7 linked regions of the Callithrix jacchus genome follow. The protein of the gene in region 2 binds, or shares a complex with, the protein of the main gene of each other region. Links are inferred from orthologs where the notes say so. Each region holds a gene or a part of one and is shown on either strand. Other genes may lie near its edges. The genes, in order: ERCC3, POLR2F, POLR1B, GTF2F2, TAF1B, UBTF and TATA box-binding protein-associated factor RNA polymerase I subunit A.

The links.
Region 1: POLR2F (region 2) and ERCC3 share a complex: the UniProt entries of both Homo sapiens proteins name them as parts of the TBP-based Pol II pre-initiation complex. The link is inferred for Callithrix jacchus from reciprocal best matches to the Homo sapiens genes POLR2F and ERCC3.
Region 3: POLR2F (region 2) and POLR1B share a complex: the UniProt entries of both Homo sapiens proteins name them as parts of the pol I pre-initiation complex. The link is inferred for Callithrix jacchus from reciprocal best matches to the Homo sapiens genes POLR2F and POLR1B.
Region 4: POLR2F (region 2) and GTF2F2 share a complex: the UniProt entries of both Homo sapiens proteins name them as parts of the TBP-based Pol II pre-initiation complex. The link is inferred for Callithrix jacchus from reciprocal best matches to the Homo sapiens genes POLR2F and GTF2F2.
Region 5: POLR2F (region 2) and TAF1B share a complex: the UniProt entries of both Homo sapiens proteins name them as parts of the pol I pre-initiation complex. The link is inferred for Callithrix jacchus from reciprocal best matches to the Homo sapiens genes POLR2F and TAF1B.
Region 6: POLR2F (region 2) and UBTF share a complex: the UniProt entries of both Homo sapiens proteins name them as parts of the pol I pre-initiation complex. The link is inferred for Callithrix jacchus from reciprocal best matches to the Homo sapiens genes POLR2F and UBTF.
Region 7: POLR2F (region 2) and TATA box-binding protein-associated factor RNA polymerase I subunit A share a complex: the UniProt entries of both Homo sapiens proteins name them as parts of the pol I pre-initiation complex. The link is inferred for Callithrix jacchus from reciprocal best matches to the Homo sapiens genes POLR2F and TAF1A.

The regions. Positions count from the first base shown.
Region 1 is NC_133507.1:37,190,009-37,193,865, forward strand, and holds part of ERCC3 (general transcription and DNA repair factor IIH helicase/translocase subunit XPB), read left to right. Parts: intron 1-4; exon of another isoform or gene 5-111; intron 112-995; coding exon 996-1,310; intron 1,311-3,857. UniProt on the Homo sapiens protein: ATP-dependent 3'-5' DNA helicase/translocase. Binds dsDNA rather than ssDNA, unzipping it in a translocase rather than classical helicase activity. Component of the general transcription and DNA repair factor IIH (TFIIH) core complex.
Region 2 is NC_133502.1:208,955,166-208,959,466, forward strand, and holds the start of POLR2F (DNA-directed RNA polymerases I, II, and III subunit RPABC2), read left to right. Parts: upstream 1-1,203; 5' UTR 1,204-1,358; coding exon 1,359-1,420; intron 1,421-4,263; coding exon 4,264-4,301. Other genes in the region: C1H22orf23 (UPF0193 protein EVG1), read right to left, coding at 299-398. UniProt on the Homo sapiens protein: DNA-dependent RNA polymerase catalyzes the transcription of DNA into RNA using the four ribonucleoside triphosphates as substrates.
Region 3 is NC_133515.1:22,030,091-22,033,947, reverse strand, and holds part of POLR1B (DNA-directed RNA polymerase I subunit RPA2), read left to right. Parts: intron 1-864; coding exon 865-998; intron 999-3,857. UniProt on the Homo sapiens protein: Catalytic core component of RNA polymerase I (Pol I), a DNA-dependent RNA polymerase which synthesizes ribosomal RNA precursors using the four ribonucleoside triphosphates as substrates.
Region 4 is NC_133506.1:164,482,028-164,485,884, forward strand, and holds part of GTF2F2 (general transcription factor IIF subunit 2), read left to right. Parts: intron 1-3,523; coding exon 3,524-3,643; 3' UTR 3,644-3,857. UniProt on the Homo sapiens protein: TFIIF is a general transcription initiation factor that binds to RNA polymerase II and helps to recruit it to the initiation complex in collaboration with TFIIB.
Region 5 is NC_133515.1:105,053,652-105,056,342, forward strand, and holds the end of TAF1B (TATA box-binding protein-associated factor RNA polymerase I subunit B), read right to left. Parts: intron 1,252-2,691; coding exon 1,053-1,251; 3' UTR 803-1,052; downstream 1-802. UniProt on the Homo sapiens protein: Component of RNA polymerase I core factor complex that acts as a GTF2B/TFIIB-like factor and plays a key role in multiple steps during transcription initiation such as pre-initiation complex (PIC) assembly and postpolymerase recruitment events in polymerase I (Pol I) transcription.
Region 6 is NC_133506.1:71,070,913-71,075,428, reverse strand, and holds the start of UBTF (nucleolar transcription factor 1), read left to right. Parts: upstream 1-1,655; 5' UTR 1,656-1,789; intron 1,790-2,157; exon of another isoform or gene 2,158-2,272; intron 2,273-2,516; 5' UTR 2,517-2,551; intron 2,552-3,501; exon of another isoform or gene 3,502-3,619; intron 3,620-3,884; exon of another isoform or gene 3,885-4,025; intron 4,026-4,455; exon of another isoform or gene 4,456-4,516. UniProt on the Homo sapiens protein: Recognizes the ribosomal RNA gene promoter and activates transcription mediated by RNA polymerase I (Pol I) through cooperative interactions with the transcription factor SL1/TIF-IB complex.
Region 7 is NC_133520.1:17,676,648-17,681,193, reverse strand, and holds the start of TATA box-binding protein-associated factor RNA polymerase I subunit A, read left to right. Parts: upstream 1-1,638; 5' UTR 1,639-1,780; intron 1,781-2,222; exon of another isoform or gene 2,223-2,407; intron 2,408-3,271; 5' UTR 3,272-3,350; coding exon 3,351-3,392; intron 3,393-4,546. UniProt on the Homo sapiens protein: Component of the transcription factor SL1/TIF-IB complex, which is involved in the assembly of the PIC (pre-initiation complex) during RNA polymerase I-dependent transcription.

The sequences.
Region 1 (3,857 bases), on a different chromosome or scaffold from region 2:
ATTTAAAAATATGGAACGCTTCACGAATTTGCATGTCATCCTTGCACAGGGGCCATGCTAATCTTCTCTGTATTGTGCCAATTTTAGTATATGTGCTGCCGAAGCGAGCACAGAATGTATTTTTGTAATAAAGGAAGGATCTCTGTTTAATGGAAAAGCTTGATTTTTATCTTGATCTTCAAACGGTGGATGGTAGTAAACTCAGAAGCTCCTGGAGTTTCATCTTGTCTGTACACACTCAGTGCATCCCTGAGTTCTCAGTCCCGTTTACCGTGTAATAATGATAGTGGACTTTTGCCAAGTCCCTTCTCCTGTGGGCTAGGCATGCTGTACCCCAGTGGCGTTACTGTCCTTTGGCTGTGGGCAAGGTAAGGTACTCCTCGGCTTTAGTGTTTCTTTTTTCTTTTCAAGACAAAGTCTTGCTCTGTCGTCCAGGCTGGAGTGTGCTGTGGCACCATCTCGGCTCACTACAACCTCCGCCTCCTGAGTTCAAGTAGTCTCCTGAATACCTGTGATTATAGGTGCCTGCCACCATGCCCATCTAATTTTTTGTATTTTTAGTAAAGGTGGGTTTCACCATGTTGGCCAGGCTGGTCTTAAACTCCTGACCTCAAGTGATCCACCCACCTTGGCCTCCCAAAGTGCCGTGATTACAGGTGTGAGCCACCACACCCAGCCTGGTTTTTCTGTCTTTAAAATGGCAGTAGTAGGCATTTCTCTTCTCACTGGTTTGAGATTTTAACATTTAAATGAGATACATGTGAAGTGCTGCAGTAGGCCCCAGCACCTGCTAATTCTCACATGTGTGTGAGGTGGGCGTGTCTTCTCATTATAAAGAAGAAAACAGGCTGGAGCCATGTGTGTCACACAGATGTCAGCTCTGCAAACTATTACAAGACATTGTCCTAGATTGCTGTACTTAAGAGTCACTCTGCCTGTTCCTGTCCTTCATTTCAGCCTATCCTTGGGTGGGAACTTAATGTTGTTTCTTGTAGGTGCTGGAAAGTCCCTGGTTGGTGTGACTGCTGCATGCACTGTCAGAAAACGCTGTTTGGTGCTGGGCAACTCAGCTGTTTCTGTGGAGCAGTGGAAAGCCCAGTTCAAGATGTGGTCCACCATTGACGACAGCCAGATCTGCCGGTTCACCTCCGACGCCAAGGACAAGCCCATTGGCTGCTCCGTTGCCATTAGCACCTACTCCATGCTGGGCCACACCACCAAAAGGTCCTGGGAGGCCGAGCGAGTCATGGAGTGGCTCAAGACCCAGGAGTGGGGCCTCATGATCCTGGACGAAGTGCACACTATACCAGGTAAGCCGTCTGGAGTTGAGCTGTCCGCTTGTTGAACAGACAGACCAATTTCCATTTGTTAGTTTGGGAGAGGGACTGCTGTGTAGCCCACCCAACTGGCTAAAAAGAAGTGTTGGGTAAAGCTTTTTAATAATGCTTAAGTTTGGGTGGGATGCAGGCAGGAGTGTTCACATTTACAGCTTTCTTAATCACTGGCTCAGTAGTCATATAGAAAATGAAACTTTCTTTCCTCCATCTTTCTTTTGCTGCTCAGCTTAATCAGTTTTTTAATGGCCCTCTAAAAACTGGATTAGGAGCACTGAAAAACCCTTCCGCAGCGGTGGTGATGTGTTTTCTTTGAAGCCTGAAATGTTGATTCTTAGTCAGTATGTAAAAGAAGCCCTGCTTCTTCGAGTATTACGGGCAAACCTTTTTTAAAGCTGCTGTATTGATTTAATTTATATACCATAAAATCACACCTTGCAAATATGTAATCCAGTGCGTTGTAGTAAATTTGTGGAGCAGTGTGCAGCCATTACCATGATCCAAGTTTTTTTTTTTTTCCTGCGATGGCATCTCACTCTGTTGCCCAGGCTGGAGTGCCGTGGTGTGATCTTGGCTCACGGCAACCTCTGCCTCTTTGGTTCAAGTGATTCCCCTACCTCAGCCTCCCGAGTAGCTGGCTAATTTTGTATTTTTTTTTTTTTGAGGCGGAGTTTCGCTTTTGTTGCCCAGGCTGCAATGACATGGTCTTGGCTCACTGCAACCTCTGCCTCCCGGGTTCAAGCGATTCTCCTGTCTTAGCCTCCCGAGTAGCTGGGATTACAGGCATGCGCCACCATGCTAATTTTGTATTTTTAGTAGAGACAGGGTTTCTCCATTTTGGTCAGGCTGGTATCGAACTCCTGACTTCAGATGATCCACCCGCCTCAGCCTCCCAAAGTGCTGGGATTACAGGTGTGAGCCACCACGCCTGGCCAAATTTCTGTATTTTTAGTAGAGACGGGGTTTTGCCATCTTGGCCAGGCTGGTCTTGTACTCCAGCCTCATGTGATCTGCCCGCCTGGGTCTCCCAAAGTACTGGGATTACAGATGTGAGCCACTGCATCCAGCCACCATGATCCAGTTTTAGACTTCCTTTATACTCATTTGCAGTCAGTCTTTGTTTCTTTGTCTGGTTCAGGCGGCCACTGAACTGCTTTCTGTCACTATAGATTTATGGAAAATTTATTTTCTTATGTCTGGCTTCTTTTACTTCACATAATGGTTCATATGTGCCTTAGCATTTATCAGTAATTTGTTTCTTTTATAACTGCATAGTTTTTTGGGTGAATCTTTTTTGATAAAAACAGATTAAGGGATTTTGATTAACAGGTTAGTGCTGTGCATGGTGGCTGACACCTGTAGTCCTCTAGCGCTTTGGGAGGTGAAGGCAGGAGAATTGCTTGAGCGCAGGAGATTAAGATCAGCCTGGGTCACATAGTGACACATGTCTCTACAAAAAAGTTTTTTTAATTAGCCAAATGTGGTGGCGTGCACCTGTGGTCCCTGCTGCTCAGGAAGCTGAGGTGGGAGGATCACTTGAACCTGGGAGGTTGAGGCTGCAGTGAACCATGATTGTGCAACTGCACTCTAGCATGGGTGACGGAGTGTGAGACCCTATCTCCAAAAAAAAAAAGAAGAACGATTAGGGTAAATTAAGAAGTCTGGAATAGACGTTTCTATGAACAAAATGAAATCTGAGGCATTTCCCAGGTAGTGTTCAAAATGTTGTCAAAATGGCCCCCGCATCTGGCTCTTTCTGTGCACTGATGAGTTTCAGGAGATACCTAGAGATGTTCACAGCTGGCCAGGGAGGGATTGGAGGTCTTTCTGATGGGTGTTGCAGGGTATGGGTTCTGCTGTGGGAAAGTACTTGGCACAGAGAGACAGCACAAGATGGCCATGCTGCCAGAGGAGAAAGAACATAGAAACAGTAGTCAAGGCTGAGGAAGGATAGAGGTATTGGGGCAGATCTTGTAGGACCTTGTAGGCGACAGCAAGAACTTTGGTGTTGTACTCTTAGTGTGAAGACATCTAAGGGGTTTGAGCAGAGGGTGATGTGAGCTGACTTTACACTCTAAAAATACCACCCTGGCTGCTGTGCCGGGAATAGACTGAGGGAAGCAAGATGGAAGCAGTGAAGTGGGTTTGTAGAATTCCAATAAGAAGTGTGAACCAGTAAGGATGAAAGTATGATCCAACTCTGGATTTGTAGTGAAGCTTTTAACTCACAGGTCAAATGGGGGGATCAGAGAGAGAAATCAGGAATGACACTAAGGTTTTTGGCTCAAACAAAGGGAAGATAGAGTGGGCAGTGCTATCAGAGATGGGGGACATTGTCAAAGGAGCTGGTCTGGAAGGTGACTATCAGAAGTAGCGCTTTAGATATATGAATTTGAGTTTCCTGTTAGATATTTAGGCAATGGCAAAAAGGTAAAAAAATAGGCAAAAGAAATTGACAGACATTTCACCAAAAAAGGCATTACTTATGTCAAAGAAGCACCTGAAAAAGTATTCAACCTTATT
Region 2 (4,301 bases):
TGGACTGACACCAGTCCCTGGCCTGTTAGGAACAGGGCCGCACAGCAGGAGGTGAGCAGCGGGCTAGCGAGCGTCACCGCCTCCTTTCAGGTCAGTGGCAGCCTTAGATTCTCATAGGAGCGTGAACCCTATTGTGAACTGCGCACGCGTGGGATCTAGGTTGCAGGCTCCTTATGAGAATCTAAGGAATGCCTGATGATCTGAGGTGGAACAGTTTCATCCCGAAACCGTTCTTGTCTTCCACGACAGCGGTCCCTGGTGCCAAAAAGGCTGGGGATCGCTGCTTTAAAGCACTGACCTTCGAGCAGCTCGCAGGTCCCCGGGGTGTAAGTGGTCTTCTTGGGGCGGCGCCGGAACCCCGTTGCTTTGGTCACTACTTCTATCTTCTGTGAAGCCATGCAAGGACCCTGAGGAGGGAAGGATGCAAAGACACACCCTCTGTCTCCTATCCCTAATTTCCTCTTCCCCACGCCCACCACCCTAGAAGTCTGGAAGCGGGGATCCAGCCAGAGAATCGTGATGCCGCCATTTAATATCGAGACAGTGCCCAAACCTCCCATCCGGACACAGACAGATACACACACAGAGTCCTCATTCTGACCCAGCGCCTGTGGCAGGGAAGTCCCCTCGGGAGGAAGGCAGTGTTAACATAGCCAGATCAGAACAGTACCCACTGAGAGATATGCCAAAATTGAAATTTCACCCTAAGACCTCCTCTGGGTGCTCCCTTCTCCACATAGAGGTGAGCTCTCGGAGGCGGTGACCACTGCTTTACAGCCGCAGCCGCACCGGTGCCACGTAGAAATCCTACGCGATCTGGGCTGCTAGAGCTGGCAACTAACAACTGTGGCTACCGTGGCTACCATGGTAACGCGCCCACGAGTCAACGCATGCGCCCTTTCTCTCTCGCGCCGTCCTGCCTCCCGGAAGTGATGCCTCTGGGTTACCGCGCAAGCGCAGGATAATCGTGGCGCCGCGCGAGTCGTAGTGGAGCCGTTTGCGGGTCTCCGCGCGGCACTGGGGAGCAGCGGCGTCGCAGAGACTAGGGTGTCATGTCAGACAACGAGGACAAGTGAGTGCGAGAGCCAAGTGGCCTTTGCGGCAACCTCAGAAGGGGCAGATGAGGCAAGGCGTGGGTCGAAGGCGGCTGAGGAGCCTGGCGTCGAGGGGCAACGTCTGAGGGGATTGGCGGCCTGAGGGGGCAGGCGGTGCCGGGGAAGGAAAGGGCGGGGACCCAGGAGCATCGGCCCGACCGGAGACCGGGCACGGGAAGCTCCTGGCTCGAGGGTCCGGATAGGATCCGTAGGAAAGGTGTCTTTCGGTGAGCCGGGCTCTGTGTCATGGGAATATTGAGGTGAATGAGGAATCGTCCCTGCCCTCCACGTGCTCGCTTTCTAGAACAGGGGGCACAGGCCCATAAGTAAGTAAACAGGTCATGGGAGTCGCGTGAGCTTCTCCAGTTCTAGAAGTATGTAATATAGGAGTTCTCCAGAGAAGGGTCTGGGGCAGCTCCACCGGTGGCATTAAATACAAGTCTGGAAGGGTTGGTTGCAGTAATCTTATTTTTATTTTTTTTTTAGACGGAGTCTTGCTCTGTCGCCCAGGCTCTGTAGTGCAGTGGCGCGATCTCAGCTCACTGCAGCCTCTGCCGCCCAGGTTCAAGGAGGGATTCTCTTGCCTCAGCCTCCCGAGTAGCTGGGATTACAGGCATGTGCCACCACATCTGGCTGTTTTGTTTTTAGCAGAGATGGGGTTTCACCATGCTGGCCAGACTGGTCTCGAACTCCTGACCTCAAGTGATCCACCCGTCTCAGCTTCCCAAAGTGCTGGGATTACAGGTGTGAGCCACTGTGCCCGGCCTGGTTGCAGTAATCTAGGTGAAAGTCAGTAGCTTGTGGTAGGGTGGTAGGAGCAGAGGTGGTGAGAAGTGGTTTTGAATTCTGGATATATTATTATTTTAAAAGTAGAGCCAAAAAAATTACCTGTTGGATGTGTGGGCACAAAGAGATTTAGTGTGAAGATAAAAATAAGAAACGTGTGGGATTGCTACAACATTCTCAGTGTCAGTAGAGAAAAGGAGATGACCCGTGGCTGAGCGTTCGGGCATTCAAACGTTGAGTGCTTGGAGGAAAAGAGAAGCCAGGGAGGTGGGGGAACACCAAGAGAGTGAGGTGTCGTTGGAGTCAAGTGAGGAGAGCGAGTGGCCTAATGTGTCAGCTGGTAGATCAGGCTAAATGAGATTGAGAATTGGCCATTGGATTTAGCAACGTGGAGATCATTAATGAACTTGGGAAGAGGGGTTTTGATGGAGCTCTTGGTGTGAAAGGCTTTTTGGAGTGGGATTATGACAGGATGGGAAGAGAGGAATTGTAGACAGTGAGGGACAGCTCTTTCACTTATTTTTGCTTCAAAGGGCACTATGGAATTAGGGCTGTAGGGGGAGGGAGAAGAGAAGGAAGGGTTTTTTTTTTTTTTTTTAGTTGAGGAAAAGCACATGTTGAAATACTGATGGGCCGAGTGGTGGCTCACACCTTTAATCCCAACACTTTGGGAGGCCAAGGAGGGTGGATCACCTGAGGTTAGGAGTTCAAGACCAGCTTGGTCAACATGGTGAAACCCTTTCGTTACTAAAAATACAAAAATTGGCCGGGTGCGGTGGCTCAAGCCTGTAATCCCAGCACTTTGGGAGGCTGAGGCAGGTGGATCACGAGGTCAAGAGATGGAGACCATCCTGGTCAACATGGTGAAACCCCGTCTCTACTAAAAATACAAAAAATTAGCTGGGCATGGTGGTGTATGCCTGTAATCCCAGCTACGCGGGGGGCTGAGGCAGGAGAATTGCCTGAACCCAGGAGGTGGAGGTTGCAGTGAGCCGAGATCGCACCATTACACTCCAGACTGGGTAACAAGAGCGAAACTCCGTCTCAAAACAAAAATTACCTGGGCATGGTGGTGTATGCCTGTAATCCCAGCTACGCGGGGGGCTGAGACAGGAGGATTGCTTGAACCCAGGAGGCGGAGGTTGCAGTGAGCCGAGATTGCGCCACTTCACTCCAGCTTGGGTGACAGAGTAAGACTCTGTCTTAAAAAAAAAATAAAAAAAAGGCTGATGAGAATGATCCAGTAGAGAGGCAAACAGCGATGATGAATGAGTCCTAACAAAATCTGGGGGCAGATGGGGAAAGATTGAAGGAGTAAAATGGAACAAAAGTCTGATTTACTTATTATTATTATTATTTTGAGAAGGAGTGTCACTCTGTTGCCCAAGTTGGAGTGCAATGGTGTGACCTCAGCTCATTGCAAGCTCTGCCTCCCAGGTTCAAGTGATTCTCGTGCCTCAGCCTCCTGAGTAGCTGGCATTACAGGCACCAACCACACCTGGCTCATTTTTGTTTTGTTTTGTTTTTTTTTTTTTGAGACGGAGTTTCGCTCTTGTTACCCAGGCTGGAGTGCAATGGCGAGATCTCGGCTCACTGCAACCTCCGCCTTCTGGGTTCAGGCAATTCTCCTGCCGCAGCCTCCTGAGTAGCTGGGATTACAGGCACCCGCCACTATGCCCAGCTAATTTTTTGTATTTTTTTAGTAGAGACGGGGTTTCACCATGTTGACCAGGATGGTCTCGATCTCTTGACTTCGTGATCCACCCACCTTGGCCTCCCAAAGTGCTGGGATTACAGGCTTGAGCTACCGCGCCCAGCCCATTTTTGGTATTTTTAGCAGAGATGGGATTTTTCCATGTTGGCTAGGCTGGTCTCGAACTCTTGACCTCAAGTGATCCACCTGCCTCAGCCTCCCAAAGTGCTGGGGTTATAGGTGTGAGCCACCATGCCCGGCTGATCCTTATTAAGTAGATATTTATTGAGTGCTTCCTATATAGTGGGCGAGACATATATCTTTGCACTTATTGATTTTTTTTTTTTTTTTTGAGACAGGTTCTTGTTCTTTTACCCAGGCTGGAGTGCAGTGGTACGATCTTGGGTCACTGCAACCTCCGCCTTCTGGGTTCAAACAATTCTCGTGCCTCAGCCTCCTGAGTAGCTGGTATTACAGGCATGGGCCACCATGCCCAGCTAATTTTTCTATTCTTAGTAGAGATGGGGTTTCACCATGTTGGCTAGGCTGGTCTCAAACTCCTGGCCTCAAGTGATCCACCCATTTCCATCCCCCAAAGTACCAAGATTACAGGTGTGAGCCACCATGGTCGGCCCCTCTTTGTTTCTGGTAAGTGATGCTCTAACTAACTGATTTATTCTTCCTGTACAGTTTTGATGGTGACGACTTTGATGACGTGGAAGAGGATG
Region 3 (3,857 bases), on a different chromosome or scaffold from region 2:
TTAGGCTCTACTTCTAATTCTAGTTGTCTTGCTATTTCTTTCTTTCTTTCCTTTCTTTCCCTCCCTCCCTCCCTCCCTCCCTCCCTCCCTCCCTTCTTTTCTTTTCTTTTCCTTCCTTCCTTCCTTCCTTCCTTCCTTCCTTCCTTCCTTCCTTCCTTCCTTCCTTCCTTCCTTCCTTCTTTCTTTCTTTCTTCTTTCTTTCTTTTCTTTCTTTCTTTCTTTTTTCTTTCTTTCTTAGATGGAGTCTCACTCTCTCACCCGGCTGGAGTGCAGTGGCGTGATCTCTGCTCACTGCAACCTCTACCTCCCAGGTTCAAGTAATTCTCCTGCCTCAGCCTCCTGAGTAACTGGGACTGCAGGCGCATGCCACCACACCCAGCTAATTTTTGTATTTTTAATAGAGACGGGGTTTCACCATGTTGGCCAGGATGGTCTCAATCTTTTGACCTCATAATCCGCCTGCCTCAGCCTTCCTAAGTGCTGGGAGTACAGACGTCAGCCACTGCACCCAGCCTTGTCTTGATATTTCTACCACATCTACAAATACAGTAGTAACATCAGAGTTCATTAATCACAGATCACCATTACAGGTATAATAATAATATATTTGAAATACTGCAAGAATTACCAAAATGCCAACACAAAGAAACAAAGGGAACACACGCTGTTGGAAAAATGGCATTGATAAGCCCACTTGAAATATCTTTGAAGTGCAATTAAAAGAAATAATGCCTGTACCTGTTTTAGAGACAAGGATAATTTGATATCTGAACTGATCCAGCAGCTGTTGACCCCATCTGGAGGGAATCTGGAATGTTGGATAAAGCATTCTAATGTGATTGTGCTGTTTGTTCCCTTTACCAGGGGTCACTCCTGTTGATGGAGCTCCCCACCAACCGTACAGTGAGTGCTACCCTGTCCTGCTGGACGGCGTCATGGTTGGCTGGGTGGATAAGGAGCTTGCTCTGGGCATTGCAGATTCTCTTCGTCATTTTAAGGTGGGCTTGAGCTTTGTGAATTGTCCTATTTCTTGACCTTAGGTTTTCAGTTCTTTTCTAGTTTTTGGGTTAACCCTTGGGTAGTCTAGAGTGATCAGGTGGTCAGGGGTCAGAATGTCCAAAATGCCTGTGCATTCCCTCTGGTGACAGAGGCTTGCCTTATACTGGTTTCATTGGTTGGGGTCAGTGACAGATATTTGACCCATATACATTCTTTGGTAGTTTCATTGAGGCACCCCAGTCTGCTTATCTAACTAATTTTAACCTTTTTCCCCCTTCTTAATACCAGTGGCATCTGAGGGATCTCAAAATACAGATATTTCCATAATATTCAAAATATGCAAGGTAGAAGTTACACTCCATTGCCTCCTAGGTTTTGAAAATACATCTTTAAAAAGTAGAATGACATTCTTTGAATAACTTATCTTTGGGATTTCCTCCTAGTGACGAGTATTTATTGCTTTGATAATGCCATTGAAAGAATTGTCCTTTGGCAACATGATGAGTTTGTGGTTTATATTCTATTCTGTGTTATTTAAAAAAAATGTTTAAGCTAAATTTTAGTTTTAGTTTCAGTGCTCTGTTGGTCACTTGGGTTGTTTCTGCCTTTTGGTCATTGCAGATAACACTGCTATGAACGTGAGTGTACAAATATCTATTTAAGTCCTTGTGCTTTTAATTCTTTTGAGTATATTCTTAGAAATGTAACTGTGTGGCTCATTTGATATAATTTTACACTTAGAGCAAATATGTTTTATCAGTACCTAGGACCCTCCTATATACACATTACCCAAATCCACCAGTTACTATGCTTTGCCCCACATGCTTTATCTTCTATATGCTCTTGATAATTTGTTTCTTTTGAGCCATCTGAGAGCAGTATTCAGACATTGTCCCATTTTCCATAAATATTTTAGTGTATTTTTTCTAAGAACAAGGACTTTCTCTTCAATAACCCCAGTACATTTCTGAAAATCAGAGAAGGTCATGTGGGTGGGATCCATAGTTGATACTCAAATTCCACCAGTTGTCTCAGTAATGTTCTCTTTTTTCTTTTCTTTTTTTTTTTAAGAGATGGGTCTCATTCTGTTGCCTAGGCTAGAGTGCAGTGGCACAATCACAGTTCACTGCAGTCTTGATGTCCCAGGCTTAAGTGGTCCTCTTACGTCAGGCTGCCAAGCTGCCTGACCACAGGAGTGCACTACCATGCCTGGCTACCCTGGCAACTCCCTGACCCAGTCCTTTGGGTTGTTATGGAGGCTTTGTTACATAGGATGACTGATGGAATCATTGGCCATTGGTGATTAGCTTAACCTCCAGCCCCTATTCCCTTCCTGGAGGTTGAAGGTAAGGCTAAAAGTCCCAATCCTCTAATCCTGGCTTGGTCTTTCTGGTAACCAGCCCCGTCCTGAAGCCCACCTAGATGCTGTCAACCACCAGTCTTTTGTTTTAATTTTTTGAGTCAGTGTCTTGTGGTTCAGTTTCCCGAGTAGCTGAGACTACAGGTACGTACCACCATGCCTGGCTAATTTTTTGTATACTTGGTAGAGGCAGGGTTTCACCATCTGGGTCAGGCTGGTCTCCTGACCTCAAGTGATCTGTCTGGTTCAAGTGATTTTTGTGCATCTGACTAGCATGCAAAAAGACATCACTTTGCAAAGTGTAAGGATTTTAGGAATTGTATGCCAGGAAACAGGGTGGAAAACCAAATAGATATTTAACAATATTACAGCTCTCCTGTAATTTAGGTTTATGTTTTGCTTCCTCCTGATGAGACTCACATTATCATTTCAGGAAGCACATGACGTTGGTTGTCCCATTATGGGTCATGTTAACTGATCCCCTCAAGGTTGTGTTCTTTAGGTTAATTCACATAGTTTCTGTTTTCTCTGTAATAAGTAACTCGTGGAGAGATAGTTGAAAGCTATGTGGAGCCCCTTTTCTTCACATTTTCACCCAGTAGTTGATGAATTATTTGCTGAATTACTATTACATTGGTGGTTCTTTGATGAGTTAATATTACTGTGATGGTTACCACATGGTGTTTTCCCCCAGTCATTTGTTCTATCTTTATTAGTTGCTATTCTGTAAGAGAGGGCTTTCTTTTCTATTAGTTATTCATTTATTTATGTTAGCACAGATTTATAGATGCTTGTTAAATTTTGTGAGTATTCTGTTACTACTTACTTTGATGCTCAGAGAGCATGAGATTTGATCAAGTGTATAGTTCAGTGGTATTAAGTACATTCATGTTGTTGTGCAGTCATCACCATGTTCAGAACTTTCTCTCTGTCACAGATGGAAACTCTGTACCCATTAAACAATCATTCAATCATTCCTTTTTTTTTTTTTTTTTTTTTTTTGAGGCGGAGTATTGTTCTGTCGCCCAGGCTGGAGTGTAGTGGTATGATCTTGGCTCACTGTACCTTCTGCCTCCCAGGTTCAAGTGATTCTCCTGCCTCAGCCTCCCAAATAGCTGGGATTACAGGTGCACACCACCATGCCGGGGTAATTTTTGTATTTTTAGTAGAGACGGGGTTTCTCCACATTGCCCCCGCTGGTCTTGAACTCCTGACCTCAAGTGATCTGCCTGCCTCATCAGTCTGATTTTATCTTTGTTATAATTTGCGCTTTCTTTTGGTTTACCTTATTCTTTTTTAGCTTTTGTTTAAATAATTTATTTTCATTCTCCTTTTTTTGGTTAGCATTGTGGAGGGTAGGGGGATGAGGACACTTGAGATCCGCTTTTAAATTTCAAGTAGGCAATATGGTATTCTTAACTATAGTCACAAGCTGTACATGAGATCTCCAGAAACTTAATTCTGTTGCATAACTGAAGCTTTATACCCTTTGACCAGC
Region 4 (3,857 bases), on a different chromosome or scaffold from region 2:
GGGTTAGATGAAGAGCAAGGCATGTAAATAACGGATTATAATATAGTAAGAGCTACCATGGAAGAATGTGCAGTGTGAAATGTGAATCCGAGGTAAGGCTGTTAGAGAAAGTCACGTTTGAGCCTAGTCTTAAAGCATGAGGAAAGGAGATAAACATTACAAGGAAGGGAAATAGCATATGGAAAAACCCAGAAGCAGGTACGGAAATGGGAAGTGTGTGTAAGGGGGAGTGCTGGAAGATGAGGCCCAGGGAAGAAGGCCGACCTGAGTGGATGCCTGCGAAGGCGTTTGGAATTCAATGTGCAGGCCAAAGGGGGAAGTCACTGAAACATTTTAGACAGAGGAAGGACATGCTGTCTCTGTTTGCTGTCCATGTCTTCTTCCCTTTAGAGATTTTTTTTCTTGTTTTTCCCTATCATCACTACTGCTTTCTCTGCTAATGCTTTGTACCTGCTTCCCTGCCAAGATAATTTATTTATTTGATTACAGTAAAATGGTCTTGGCCGGGTGTGGTGGCTCAGGCCGATAATCCCAGCACTTTGGGAGGCTAGATGGGTGGATTGCCTAAGGTCGGTAGTTTGAGACCAGCCTGGCCAACATGGTAAAACCTCGTCTCTACTAAAAATACAAAAATTAGCCAGGTGTGGTGGCACATGCCTGTAATCCTAGGTACTGGGGAGGCTGAGGCAGGAGAATCCCTGGAACCCAGGAGGCAGAGGTTGCAATGAGCTGAGATCGCACCACTGCACTCCCCCCTGGGCAATAACAGCAAAACGCTGTCTCAAAAAAAAGAAAAAGGTCTTAGATTGCAGTTTAGAACATCCTACAAATCAGGAAGTTTGTGTGTCCCCTACCCCCTAGTCACAGTAGATTGTGACCGTGATTGCATTTTGTTGCTTGAAAAATTGACAGACCAGGATTATCTCATTCCATTTTTACTGTTACACGGAAAAAAGAATGACACCTTCTTGTATAAAAATAATTCCTTATATTCTACCAGTTTACCAGAATGAGCGTGAACATGAGAGCAACTGAATTTGTACTCTTAATACGTTCTCAGTATTCTGTGTTTAACCCTTTTTAGGCTTTTCATTTTCTGGGCCTAGATTATAAATGGGCCCTCGAGACTTGAAGTCAGGAGAGGTCTTCTCTGTGGGGCTACCACAGTGCTCCTGGAGGTGGCTTTTCGCTTTTGACCCTGTGCATCCACAGTGTGTGGCTGGTTGTGCGGCACCGTCTTAGCCAGTCTCACAATAAAACATTCTTTGGAATTTTACAAAGATGTCCTTCTTGGCACCTAAACAGAGAATCATTTGTCTCCAACCGATCATTTTCCATTTGTAAACCCTGCTCAATTAGAAAATCGTTTATGAATAGTGTCCTGTTTTTTAAATGTAATTTGAAAAACTGCTGTTGCCGGTGGCAGACTTGCATTTTATATTACCTGGATGTTTCAAGCCTTTATGCTTACTCATTCACACGGGTCTGCTAGTGAAGCCAACCGCAGGTGTGGGAGGCAGGCAAGCCTCAGGGGAACCCAGGGCTCCTTTGGTCCATTGCTGCCACCTGCTGGGGCCGGCTGATGGAATGGGAAGGCTGCCCAACAGCGAGCTAAGCCATCCTGAATGAACCTCAACCTCTGTGTAGTTCCAGTACTAGCCAGCTTTTGTGTTTCTAGGTGACAGTCTACCCCTGACTTCCAGTACTTTCTAGGTGACAGTCTACCCCTGACTTCCAGTACTTTCTAGGTGACAGTCTACCCCTGACTTCCAGTACTTTCTAGGTGACAGTCTACCCCTGACCAAAAGGACACTGTGAACTCTAGAGCGTTATGTCAGTCACTGTAAAGTGGTGTCACATTATGTTGGTGACACCTCATCTCCAGCAGTGATGAGGCCCTGAGAATGAAAACACACTAAGGACTCAAAGATCCTAGAGTTTCAGAGCTGGAAGAACCGTAAACCAGATGCAGTATGTAGTCACATGAGTCACCTAGGCACTTGTTAAAATGCAGGTTCCTGGGCCTAGCCCCAAAGACTTTGATTCGGTAGACCCAACATGTGTCTTATTTAACTGGCTTCCCACAAGGTTCTGATACAGGTCGTCTAGCATCACTGCAGAAGAGAAGAAAACTCCTGAGATATCCAGGCAAGAGCTTCTCAGCCGTTGTTCTTATTAATGCCTCGTTTCAATCAATAAGAAAAGTTATCTTTCATCAATGGGATGAGTCATCACCATACTGCAGCTGGTTCTTTGAAGCAGACGCACACAAAATAATTAACTTTCCTTCCTTCTCTAAGAAGGAAATCTGTACTTTGTATTGGGCAGCTTATTGTGGAATGCTTTTTGGCCTTGAGCATTGGCAAGCAAAGGTGGAGTTTCATATTACACTTAACATAGCCATTATTTCCATGACTGCATTAATCATTTAGTAAATGTTTGTTGAATTTTTAGGGACCTAAAACACCATCATACAGATTCTTTTCTTTGTAGAAGTAAAACACAAAGCTGCATCCCCGATAGTTTTTGAAGATGTCTTACTATCCCTTCTTTGTTGTCGTTGTTGAAATAGAGTTTGGTTCTTGTTGCCCAGGCTGGAGTGCAGTCTGGCTGACTGCACCCTCTGCATCCTGGATTCAAGCGATTCTCCTGCCTCAGCCTCCCTAGTAGTGGAGACAGGGTTTCACCATGTTGGCCAGGCTGGTCTCAAACTCCTGACCTCAGGTGATCCGCCCACCTCGGCCTCCCAAAGTGCTGGGATCACAGGCATGAGCCACCGTGCCCAACCTGATTATCACTTCTTGTTCCCTTCTCTGTGTGGCAAGCTTGGCTAAAGTACAAATAGCAGTAAATACAAATGACAAAAAATAAGTGGCCTAATAACAAATTTGAGAACTCACCTTAGAACTGAGGTTTCTGAATACCTGTCGTATGCCTGCTTGATAGAATATTCTCAGAAATGTTAGTCATTTTTTATGTATGCTGTTGCTCCCTGAAACTGCTGGTTTCAATCTGACTGTAAACTGAGTCCTTGAGGCTGCTGAGCTCAACGGCAGATTACACTTGGTGTACTGTGTCACACTGAGTGAGGACCAGTAATATTTTCATGTGTTTCAGCTAATGTTTTTTGTGTTTGTTTTAGCTTTTAAGTCATTGGCATTCAGGACTTTTATCCCCTTTAATGCAAATGATTATATAGTTAGTGCAGTGATCATATCACACATGTGGAATCAAAAGGCAGTTTACTTATAGATCAATCTTGCTGAGCTTTTAGGAGCATTTTTTTTTTTGAGATAGAGTCTCGCTCTGTCTCCAGGCACCAGGCTGCAGTGCAGTGGCGCGATCTCGGCTCACTGCAACCTCCGCCTCCCAGATTCAAGCAGTTCTCCTGCCTCAGCCTCCCGAGTAGCTGGGAGCATAGTTTTTATGACTTGCATACGTGCTTTGGCATAGCATCTTATTTTAAGTTTTGTTTGCTGCCTTTATAATCTCATTTATTAGGGTTTTTTTGTTTCTGCTTTAGGTGTACCTGAAGGAAATCTTAAAAGAAATTGGAGTTCAGAATGTAAAAGGGATCCACAAAAACACGTGGGAGCTGAAGCCAGAGTACAGACACTATCAAGGAGAAGAAAAGAGTGACTGAGGTGCCTCCCGGCCTGCATGCCAGTGAGACCACTAGCAGTATGCTGAGCAAAAGGCGCTTGAACACCGTATGTTAACAGGGGTGAAGCGACGACCCTACTTTCATTTCTCTCAGTAAATTTTTTAAACCTGTAATTCTTGTAAAGTTTCTTAACTGGTTTCTTTTATTTTGTTTTGTTTTGAGAAGAAAGAACAAATTTATTTATAGACTTCAC
Region 5 (2,691 bases), on a different chromosome or scaffold from region 2:
TTTGTAAAACCTTTAACTATTTATTCTTTAAATTTTTAGATCAAAATTCTACATGCATATAATTCAAATCATTGCATAACTTGTTATAAAAAGTTGCAAAAATAAAAAAATATCAAAAGTCTTAGCCAGGCACAGTGGCTCATACTTATAATGCCAGCACTTTGGGAGGCTGAGGCGGGAAGATCAGTTGAGCCCAGGAGCTGAAGACCAGCCTAGGCAATGGGATATGTTTTCATATCCCTTACTCAGCTTGTCTTTTTCCTTTTGCTTTGCAAGAGCTACTGATACATTAAAGAAATTATTCCTTAGGCCGGGTGCAGTGGCTCATGCCTGTAATCACAGCACTTTGGGAAGCCGAGGCAGGTGGATCGACACCATCCTGGCTAACACAGTGAAACCCCATCTCTACTAAAAATACAAAAAATTAGCCGGGCGTGTTGGCACACACCTGTAGTCCCAGCTACCAGGAGGCTGAGGCAGGAGAATCGCTTGAAACTGGGAGGTGAAGGTTGCAGTGAGCCGAGGGTGTGCCACTGCACTCCAGCCTAGGAGACAGAGCAAGACTCTGTCTCAAAAAAAAAAAAGAAATTATTCCTTTGTCCATTGTATGCTGCAAAAATTGACTTTGCCATTCCAAGATCATCAAAGCATTTGTATTTATTTTCTGCTAATACTTTTATATTTTTAAGTATGAAAGATTAAGTTTAAATCTTTGATCCATCTGGGATTTACTCTGGGGAATAAAGAATATGGAAGGGATCTAGTTTAAAAAAATTTAGCTTTAAAGGACAATTAATACACATTTCTGGATACAATTATACAATTTATTGTTGTTTTAACTTTCTCTTAGAATATTCATACTCTGAAAAATAAAATCAAACAAAGCTTACCTGCTTTACAATATACATTTTTCTAAGCACACTTGATACATATGTAAATATGTGTCAGAGTATATACATATATATGCAGTATTTTCCATAATTCTTTGGAATGTTATATTAAAATCTGATGTTACTATTAAGATCTTTTTCCAAAAAAGTTTCATTTTCTCACTATCGTCTCCGTTTCTTGGATTTTGATTTCTTTTTTGTTACACTGTATTTTTTCTTAAAAAGTTCCTTTTCAACTAAACTCACTTCTTCATGGAGAAGGGAAGCCTTTATTCTGAGCAGGAAGGAGAAGAGATTTAGTATAAACTGATAACTCAGAGAATAATTTGATTCCTCGTAGGTTGTCACGTGTGTACAATAGCTAGAAGAGAAAAAGAAAAAAAGAATTTCTCTTGAGCTTATAACTGAGAAATGCACATATTAATCCCTGAACCTCCCCACAAATAACTTAGCAAATATATATGGTTAGGTTTAAAACAGTACCCTGAGCTAGAAGGAAACTCAGAACAATCTGGTAACTCCTTAACTGCACAAAGGAAAACATTTTCACACTGTGCATGGCCACCACACAAGGGCCACAGGTGGTTCTAGGAACTGCTCTTTCAACTCTTTGCTCAAAGTTTCTTCGCTCCAGATAGGCCACCACTCCACCCTCTTACCATGGTCAAGGCAAACAAAAGCAAACAGGGAGAGATTCTAAAACGAACTAAAGAAAACAAATAATCCCAACTGCTACCCAAAATAAGAGGCCAAACTTTATAACGTGGCTTGCAGTACTATATGTATTGCGATAGAAGAGTTTACCAAGCAATTTCCCTTATTTTAAAATAGTAAAACCCAAATCTGATCAAATCTCTAACTAATGCTAACTGCCAATCTCTTTTTCTTTTTTGAGATGGAGTCTTGCTCTGTTGCTCAGGCTGGAGTGCAATGGTGCGATCTCGGCTCACTGCAACTTCTGCCTTCCAGGTTCAAGTGATTCTCCTGCCTCAGCCTCCTGAGTAGCTGGGACTACTGCCTTCTGGGTTCAAGTGATTCTCTTGCCTCAGCCTCCTAAGTAAGCCAGGCTAATTTTTTTTTGTATTTTTAGTAGAGATGGGGTTTCACGTGTTAGCCAGGATGGTCTTGATCTCCTGACTTCGTGATCTGCCTGCCTCAGCCTCCCAAAGTGCTGAGATTACAGGTGTGAGCCACAGTGCCTACCTTTATTTATTTATTTATTTATTTTTTTAACCTACTTTTTTTTTTTTTTAAAGATGGAGTCTGGCTCTGTCTGCCAGGCTGGACTGCAGTGGTGGGATCTCGGCTAACTGCAACCTCTGCCTCCTGGGTTCGAGTGATTCTCCCACTTCAGCCTCCCAAATAGCTGGGACTACAGGCGTGCACCTCCATGCCCAGCTAATTTTTATATTTTTAGTAGAGAGGGGGTTGGCCAGTCTGCTCTTGAACTCCTGACTTCAGGTGATCCACCCATCTGAGCCTCCCAAAGTGTTGGGATTACAGGCATGAGCCACTGCACCTGCCATAACTGCCAATCTCAAACTCTAACTACACCAAACATAGGGTATCCAGGGACAGAGGAAGAGGTTAAATGGTATTGTATGGCACTGTCATAGGCAAAATCCAGACTATGAGAAATTGGTGGGACACATGACCAGGATTACTCAATAAGTACACTGTAAAAGGAAAGAGAGAGAGAGTGAGAGAAGGGGGGGTGGTTTCCTCATGAACTGAAACTCTTACAGGCCATGTCAACCACCTGCAATATATGAGCCTGATTTGGATTCTGAGTTAAATTCAT
Region 6 (4,516 bases), on a different chromosome or scaffold from region 2:
AATGATGAAAACAAAATTAAGTTCAGGGCCTTCACCAGGCCCTGCAAGTGAGGGGCCTAGAAGCTGAAATTTTATTAGCATCTAGTGGCATATCCGCTTCTTCTACATGCCAATGCCCTCAAAAAAAAAAAAAAAAAAAAAAAAAAAAAAAAAAGAACAGGACACACCACATCTTGACAGCATTTCCTTCCTGTTTGTGAAACGTGACAGAAGTGGGATGTGGAAGTCCTGGGAAAGGAATATCATTTCTCCCAGGAGACAAGAGGAATTACAGCAGCAGCGAGGCAGGCTGAGTGAAGGAGAAGGCTGCGTGCCAGGGGAGAGTAGAAAGGGGCTGGGTGACCCAGCTGGCCCAGATGCGGGCAGTAGAGTGTCGGTGTGGGAAACTGGTAGCCTGAGAGCCAGGAGCAATGGCGCTGCCCAGGAGCGGTGGCCCAGGCTGGAGGCTGGGCCTGTTGGAAGCAGGCTTCCTTCAGACGGCTTTCTGGCTCCCTGCGTCCGGATAACCTTTCCTCTGAGAAGGGGAGGCAAAGACAGACAACCACGGCCATGGCAGTGCAAGGGTGGGCGGTGGACCCCGTCCAGGCTTTTCATCACCCGCCTGCAGGATAGTGAACCGGGGGAAGTCTCGGTGGCGGTTGCCCCGCTGCCGCCCGGGCAGTGAGGCCGGGGTGCCGAGCTCCCCTCGCGGCTGCCCGCCGCCGCCGGGGGGCAGCGCCTGCGGCCTGCTTTCCCAGGGCTGGCCGAACCTTTTTGACAAACTGATTGCGTGGCGGGGATTGGCTGGTCGGGGCGTGACGCCGGTAACAACAAAGGTGGAGTTGGAAGAAATTAGATTAAAGGAGAGGAAAAAAATTAAAGGGGGAGCTGGCAGAGGACAGGAGGTAGAGACCGAGGGGGAGATTCGCGAAGCGGTGTCTCTCCCGGTTCCGACTACTCCACGCCCCAACCCCAGAAGATTCCTCGCACAAACCCACTGGGATTTTGCTCTTTCCCCCACCCCGGCCCAGTGGCCGATGCCGGGGTAGCAAGGATAGCCGCTGCTTCTTGAAAAATCCCGAAACTCCCACCCTGACACCCCTCACTACGAGCTAAGGAGAGAACTTTTTGCTCGGACTCCTCGGATCCTAAACCCAGCGAAGAGGGGAACATTGAGAAGCTCGTCCTAAAACCCGGAAGGCCCTCGCGGAGCACGGAGATCGGATAAGGCCGGGTGCTCCCATGGTTTTCCGATGTGTTGCAAATCTAAGAGCTTCTTTCTCGCTTTTTTTTTCCTGTAACTCCCCCCCCCGCCCCATTTTGCTTCTGGGTTGCAAAAGCAAAGAGCAATAAAAAAAAAAAAAACGCGCACACACTCAGACACACACCAGTGGCGACATGGGAGAGAGTTGGAAAGACGCAGGAGAGAGAAGCAGGAGGCAGGAAGCAGCGGGGATGGAGCAATGGGAGCGGGAAGGAGGCAGGTTTTCTCGCAAATCCCCCTCCGGCCTCAAGCCGTCTCGCCAGCCCCGGCAGGGGAGCGAGGAGCCGGGCGAACAGATGGAGGAGTGGAGCTCGCTCTAGGCAGCTGGGCTTGGCCGGAGAATGGAGGAGCCACCAAGCGACCGGCTGATTGGAAGAGAAACGCAGAGCGATGGAGGCGGGGGTAGGAGGACGATTTCTCTGCGGGGACTGGCGGCGGCGTACACGCCCGGGTCGGGCGCTGCAGAGCTTGGCTGGCTTTCAAGCCGCGCTCGCCGGCTCCAGCTCCGTGCGCCCCCCACTACTAGCCCTCCCGGCGGCTCCGCAGGTGAGTGCGAGCTGGGGGCAGAAAGATCCAAAAGTCTCAACACGCCCGCCCTGCAAAAAAGAAAAAAAAAAAAAAAAAAAAAAGGAAAGGAAAAAAAGCATTTTTCTTAAAAAAAAAAAAAAAAAATTTTCTGTGCAACCCCTAGAGCAGTGGGAGGGAAGGGGTGAGGCTGAGCAGCCCGGAGGAGGCGGAGGGGCCAGGCGAGGCCGCCGTGGCCCGGGAGGCGGCGGCGCCGAGGCGGCTCTGACGGGCAAGCGCTTGGAGCGGCGCTGCGCTGCGCCGAGGCGGGCGGGCGGGCGGGCGGAGCGGGGCGGGCGGAGCGCGGCGCGTGGGGCTCGCCATTAGCCGTCGCTCCGCTTCGCCATCTCGGGCTTTGTCTGGCGACTTGCTGCCCCGGCGTCGGCTGCAGCGGAGCTGCGGCTCGGCTATTCGGACCGCCGCGCCCCCAGGTGCCCCCAGCCCGCGCTCCCATCCACACGCTCGGTAAGTGAGCCCGGGCGCCGCGGATTTCGGGGGAGAGGGGTCGCTACGAGTGGCGGTGGCGCCGATCTCCATGCGCCCGGGCAGGCCTGGGGAGCCATGCCGGGCTGGATTGAACCGGCTCCCAGAGCGGCTTCTCCGCCGAAGCCCGTCGTTCCTTCGCCGTTTCCGGGGTGTAAAGAGCAATGGGGATTTTTTTTTTTTTTAATGCAGAGGTTTTAGTTTTTTGTTTTTTTTTTTTTTTAAGTTTCGTATGTGCCGTTCGGCAGTGAGGACCGCAAGGTAGGCACTGAAGCCGGGCGCCGCGATCGGCGTGCGTGCGCCCCAAGCCAGTGACCACGCTCTGGGGGATGAGGGTGTGCGCGGACCGCTCGCTCCGGGAGGCGGGAAAAAGCTGGCCTGGAAGCCCTAGTCTGAGCTGGGAGGACTTGGGGGAGAGCTCCGGAGCAGAGCTGTGGGCGCCCCCCGAGCCTCTCCAGCCGCCGGGGGCCCCTTTGGGCACCCTCTCCGCCGCCGCACCTCGGCCCTCCCTCTAGTGCCGGAGGAGCCTGTTAGTTCCCCCGCGGGTCTGGCGAGGTCGCTCTCGGCGCCCGCCCGCCCCGGCTCCGAGCTCCGCCGCCATCCGGGCGGCTGCGTGTCTCCCTGCCCCGGCCCCCCCCCCCGCCCGGCGGCAGCAGCAGCAGCCGCCGCCGCCGCCGCCGCCACCACCACCACCACCCCCCTCCCCTCCTTCCTTCCCTCCGCCTCGGCCGCCCGGGTCCCCCCAGCTCCCGCCCCTCCTCCCAGCTGCCCCCCGCGGAGCCCGCCCGGGCAGGCTGTGGGAGGGAGCGGAGCCGGCGAGGCGGGCGGGCTGGCGCTCGCTCCCCGGGGGTCGGTGTGCGCTCTACGGGGAAGGACGCGCTCGCTGCCCCGCTTCTCCCGCCCCCCCTCCCGCTCCTCCTCCTCCCTTCTCCCTCCTCCTCCCCGCTCCGGCGGCTGAGGCTGCGGCGGCGGCGGGGGGTGTGCGAGCTGAGGCCGGGGCCGGCGGCGGGCGGGCTGCCTGCAGGCGGAGGGCGCTGTGCTTTGTGCTTTTCGCCGCGAGGAGCAGCAGGCAGCAGCCACAGCCGCCGCCACAGCCACAGCAGCAGCAGCCGCCGCCCCAGCGCCGCCGCCTCGCCCGGAGGAGGAGCCGCTGCCGCCGCGGGAGGGAGCTGCGGCTGTGCCCGGCCGAGCGGGGGAGGGCGCCGCCGCTCAGAGCCGGGGAGGGAGCCGCCGGAGCGGGAAGCCCGGAGGCCGCTCTGCGCCGGGTAACCGAGGCGGCTGAGGACGCGCGCTAGGGTCGGGGCCTGACGGCAGGGAGCGAACCGCAGGGTGCGGTGGGCGCCCGGCTGGGAACCGGAGCAGGGGACCGGGCGCGAGCAGACCAGGGCACTGGGGAGGACGCCGAAAGCCGGGGGAGGGGAGGGCAGGAAGCGTGGCCCGAGCCGAGACCTGGCCGCTGGCGGAGGAGCCCGCGCTTCTCGGAGCCGGCAGGCGCAGTTCTCCCCGGCCGCCGGAGGGGGCGGCGGGGCCGGTGAGCGCTGCGCCCCCGCCTCCCGGCCGCCGTCCTCCCGCCCTCTGCTTGGCTCGGCTCCCCGGAGGCCAGGGCGGGGGCGCCGGCGGGGCTGGGCCGCAGGCTCGGGGGAGGAGGCGGCGGTTCCCGCCGCGGTCGCGCCTCTGCGCCGGGCTCCTCCGTGCGAGTCGGGGTGGCTGGGCGGCGGCGGCGCCTCTGGCCGGGGTAGGTGGCTCGGGGCGGGGGGCAGGCTAGGCCGCTTCTCTCCAGCTGCTCGCCCGCCTGAGCGGGCGGGGAAGGCGATGGGAGCCCGGGAGGGGGGAGCGGTGGGAATCCGAATCCGGTCCCCGGGGGCGGTGCGGCCGTTGCGCTCCGGGGCTGGCGGCGGCTGCGCTGCGTCCGGGTCCCCGCCGGGTTGCGGAGGCGGGGGGAACCGGCCGGGGGGAGGCGAGAGGAGGAGACTGGGGCGCGTGCCCGCTTCCGTGGTCGCGCGCGCCCTTTACCCGCCCTTCCTCCTCCCCCGCCCTCCAGCCTGGGGCCTCCCCGGGGCGGGCGCTCAGAGGAGGAGGAGTTTTTTTTGGCCAGGGTTGGGGAAGGAGGGCGGAGGGCGGGCGCTTGCTGCACGCGGGAGCTGGGAGCAGGCTCTCGCGTGGGCAGAGGAGGGCGCGCGCCGCGGAGCTGGGCTGCAGGGTTTGGGGGAGGGGGTCAGGAAGCAG
Region 7 (4,546 bases), on a different chromosome or scaffold from region 2:
GGGGGTTTAATTTCCAGTGACTGGCCCAGAGCCTGCCCACGGGAAGATCTCAAGGGAGGCTGTTAAAGGAACAGCATGCAACTTGCCAGCCCTGAGGAGGTGGGCGGGGGGGGGGGGGGGTGCGTGGATCAGCTTCAGACACAGCTGTTTTCCTATGGGATGTGACCACATAACGATCAGACAAAAAGATGACTGAACTTATCTTCTTGAAATCATTGCTTTGTAATTGTTGCTTCCCACCATTAACATTGAAGAAAGGCTGGGGCACAGGAGGCTGGATGAACTTTGTGTTGGCCAGGTAAACAGAATGTCTATCCAGGTAGAAAGTAAGCAGTGAAGGTATGCTCACCTGAGCAGGGAGGGGGTCACGAATCTCGCTGGCCTGCCCTAGCTCTGCCTTTGCCCCTTTGTTTGGCCCTGTGGCTATAAAGCTGCCCTACCAGGAGCAGCCCCCACTGGCACCTCCGGCCCTAGGGATTTGTGAGTGTTTGGTGGGGGCAGAGTGTGGAGAGGCCAAGTCCACACTGTATCTAACCTTAGTGCAGCTCAGGATTCAGCTTCCCCCAGCCCCTTCTCAAGGTCTCAGCTCGGGCCCTCAAGGCAGCAGGAAGATGGGCTCTCCTCATCCCCTAGGTCCCCTGTCCTTTACCCCCCACTTCGGACACAGCTTCACGTAATGCAGCCACAAGGAGAAAAGAAGGCAAATCACTCAGGGAGGGAGGCACCTGAGCCCCAGCTTGGCCCAGAAAAGGCACCCTGTGCATCTCCCACAGCTTACCACATCCGCCTGGGACTCGACGAAAGGGCCAGAGGGCCGAAGGTGACACCAGAGTCTCTGGCGCGACCTTCCAGAGCCTCCAGGGAATTTCTCACGCTATGGGGGCGAAGACTGGCTCCCCAGGGCCCCACGGAGGTCAGGGTCCTCTCCATTCAGGACAGCAAGGAGAGAATGGCCTGGAGTGAGGCCCTAGGAGGGACGGGCTGCTGGGGTCCTTGGAAGGGACCGTAGGGAAGACTTGGAGTCTTGCACGCTCCTAGGGGATCTGCGGTGGGGAGGCAGCAGGGAGCCTCTCCTGCCGGATGGCGCTTTCGGAGGCGGCGATCCCCGAGGGTTCCTTGCTCTAGGGTCGCCTCTTACAACTGCGGTGGTGGGCGGGGAAGAGTGAGCAGGGTGCAGTGCGGCAGCCATGGCACGGTGGGAGCCTCGTGCTCTCCGGCTCTACCCGCGGGACCAGACCCCTGCAGCTCCCGAGCCAGCAGAGCCAGGACGTGCCTCGGGAATCTGGGTGCTCCCCAGGTCCCGGGGCATTCGGGGACGCCGCGCCTTCCAGCGTCTGAGCTCCATCCCGGGTCCGGGAGATCAGCCCCGCGCACCCGGGTTAGAGTGAACCCCCCCGCCCTGCCGATTGTCCCAACGCCGGGGCCAGGGGGCGCGGGGCCCTGTGTACGTCCGGCTCCGACACATCATCTTTGTATTCCATCTCTTTCCGCCGCGCCGTGTCTCCTGGAAGCGTTTCCGGCCCCAGTGACTCGAGCGGGTGAGGCGAAGGAGCAGTTCCGGAGCGTGTCGCGCAGGCTTAGGTGAGTGCGCGTGCGCCCGGTAGAGGCGGCCCTGCGGGCTTGCCGTACACCGCTTCCGGGACGCGCCCGGGGCTACTCCGCTGCAGAAGGTTTGTGCGGTTCTGCGCCGGCTCGCTGAGGAGCTCGGCTGAGGAGCGGACGTAGCGGGCGGCGACTCGGTGGGACCGCAGCGCGCTGCAGCAGCTCCCGCCCTGGCCAGGTAAGCTGCGGGACCCGGGCTGCCTGACTCGCCAGTGGCAGCCTGCGGCCTCGCGCCGTACCGCAGGAACCCTGAGGAGTGTGGGGCGGCGCGGAGGTTGCGGCTCTAGTTCTCCGAGCGCAGCCCTCTGGACTCCGCAGGGCTGCAGGGTTGCGGGGTGGCTGTTGCTGAGATCTGGGAGTGCAGCCCGGCGGCCCCACTCCTTTCCTACCGCCACTTCCTCCTCCCACGACCGGCGGCTCTCACATCCCGCGCTAGGTCGCCGCAGCGACAGGCCACTTGTGCCGGCTACAGGCGCTATCTGACGGGGGTGGGGGTGGGGGAAGTGGTGAGGGAGGAAGGGCTCCCGCTCAGGTCCCACAGGGCTGGCCGGGCCGCTGGTGCGTTCCGTGGCTGGAGAACCAGAGCCGGGATCCTGTCCCACTTCCGTTTCCTTTTATAGTAAGGCCCAGCGGGAAAAACCTTCTCAATTAAAAACCCTACACCGCGTTGCCCCTGGGCTGCAGGCGCCAGGCTGGGTGTGTGCTGCTGGGCATGGGCGTGCTGAGGAGCTCGGCTTCGCCGACGCGGTGGGCGGCGGCGGGGCGGGGACTGCACCGCGCTGAAGCAGCCTTGCTCCCTGGCCAGGTAAGCTGGGCGGGGGGCCGGGCTGCCTGAGTCGCCACCGGTGGCAGCCTGGGGCCTCCCGTGGCACTGCAGGGACCCGGATGCGTGGGGGCGGCCCGAGGTTGCAGCCCCAGTGTTCTCGAGCACTGCCCTGTGGACTCGGCGGGGCTGCGGAGCGGCTGTTGCTGGGATCTGGGGGTGCAGCCCAGCGGCCCCACTCCTACCGGCCACTTCCCTCTCCCACGACTGGTGGGTGGGTGCAGCGGGTACTGGGCGGTGCTCTCGCATCCCCGGGTTGGGTGTGGGGGGGGGTGCTTGTGGCGGACGGCCACCCGGCGCCGGCTAGAAGTGCTGTCTGGGGGTTGGGGGGGCACTTGGGTCCTGCCGCCGGGCTGGACGGGCTGCTGGTTGCGTTTCCCCATCCTCGCTTGGCGCTGGCATCAACTCCCGGTGCCGGACGGCAACTGGGTTGGGGTCGCCTTTGGGTTCGCTGTCCCCGGAGACCCTGAGCTAGGATCTTTTTCCCCTTCCCTTTCCTTTTATAATAAGGCCCAGAGGGAAAAAATTATCACTTAAAGACTCCACACCCCGCCCTTGCCCCTGGACTGCAGGCGCCGGGCCGGGAGCACAGCGGGGACCTGCCGTGGGCTAGGCCCCTTCCCCAAGGCAGGCACTGCCTGGCAAGGCTGCTGGTGGTAGATCTGGCCACAAATGGTGGAGAACATTGAGGACAGTTCCACCCCCCTTGGCTGTGCTGAGCCCATCTGGAGTGTTTCTGGTTCTAATCACAAGTGGAACAGTTTCAGTGCAGCTTACAGGTTCATGTTAGTGATGAACTTGGGTGGAGGTGGTGACACAGCTTGTTCTCTCCTCCTTGGCTCTTAGTGTATCCAGGATCCTGAGCTGCCAGGGGCCTGGTGACTCCCTCCCAGAGCCCTGCCTTGGCTGAGCTGGTCACCGCTGCATGTCCCGGGCTGCCAGCCTGCCTGTCATCTACAGTGCACAGGTATGCATGTGTGTGCATATGTATATGCACCACACACATACCCATGCTCACACTGCACATGTACCATGCCCATCTCACACACCCCACACACATACCCCATACATAACACACATACCCACCTGTCACATACTACAAACATGCCATGCCCACTTCACACTACACGCACATACCCCATACACACCACACATACCATATCCATCTCACACTGCACACATACCATGCGCACCTCACACCCCACACACATACCCCATACACACCACACATATCATATCCATCTCACACTGCACACATACCATTCGCACCTCACACCCCACACACATACCCCATACATACCACACACAACACATGTATCATACGCACCTCTCACACACTACAAACATGCCATGTCCATCTTTCATATACCACACACATACCCCATACCACACATAGCATACCCACCTGACACACCACACACATTCCTAATACCACACACAACACAGATATCACACCCACCTCACACATACTACACATTACCACACAGGACACACATACCATGCCCACCTCACACACCCCACATACTGAACCAATATACACCACACACATATCATACCCACCTCACACATACCACACACCATGCCAACCTACACACACCACACATACGCCATACACACCACACACAACACACATACCCTCCTCATACATACCCCATACATACCACACATGACACACATACCATGCCCCCCACACACCCCACACACTAAACCCATATACACCACACACATATCACACCCACCTCACACACACCCCATACACATCACATGCATATCATAACCACCTCACACACCACATGTATACCATGCCCACTTGACACACACCAGGCACTTAACCCGTATGTCCCACACATACACCACACACATACCCACCTCACACACACAACTCACACCCCATACACACCACACACAACACACATATCCACCTCACACACCACACACTACATATATACCTTGCCCACCTCTCACACACCATACGTGTATCGTACCCACCTAACGCACATACCCCCCCCACAACGCACATACCCCCCCACAACACACATACCCACTTCACACACCACATATATACCATGCCTGTCTCACAGACCATACGCTTAACTTATATACACCACAACCACCACACAT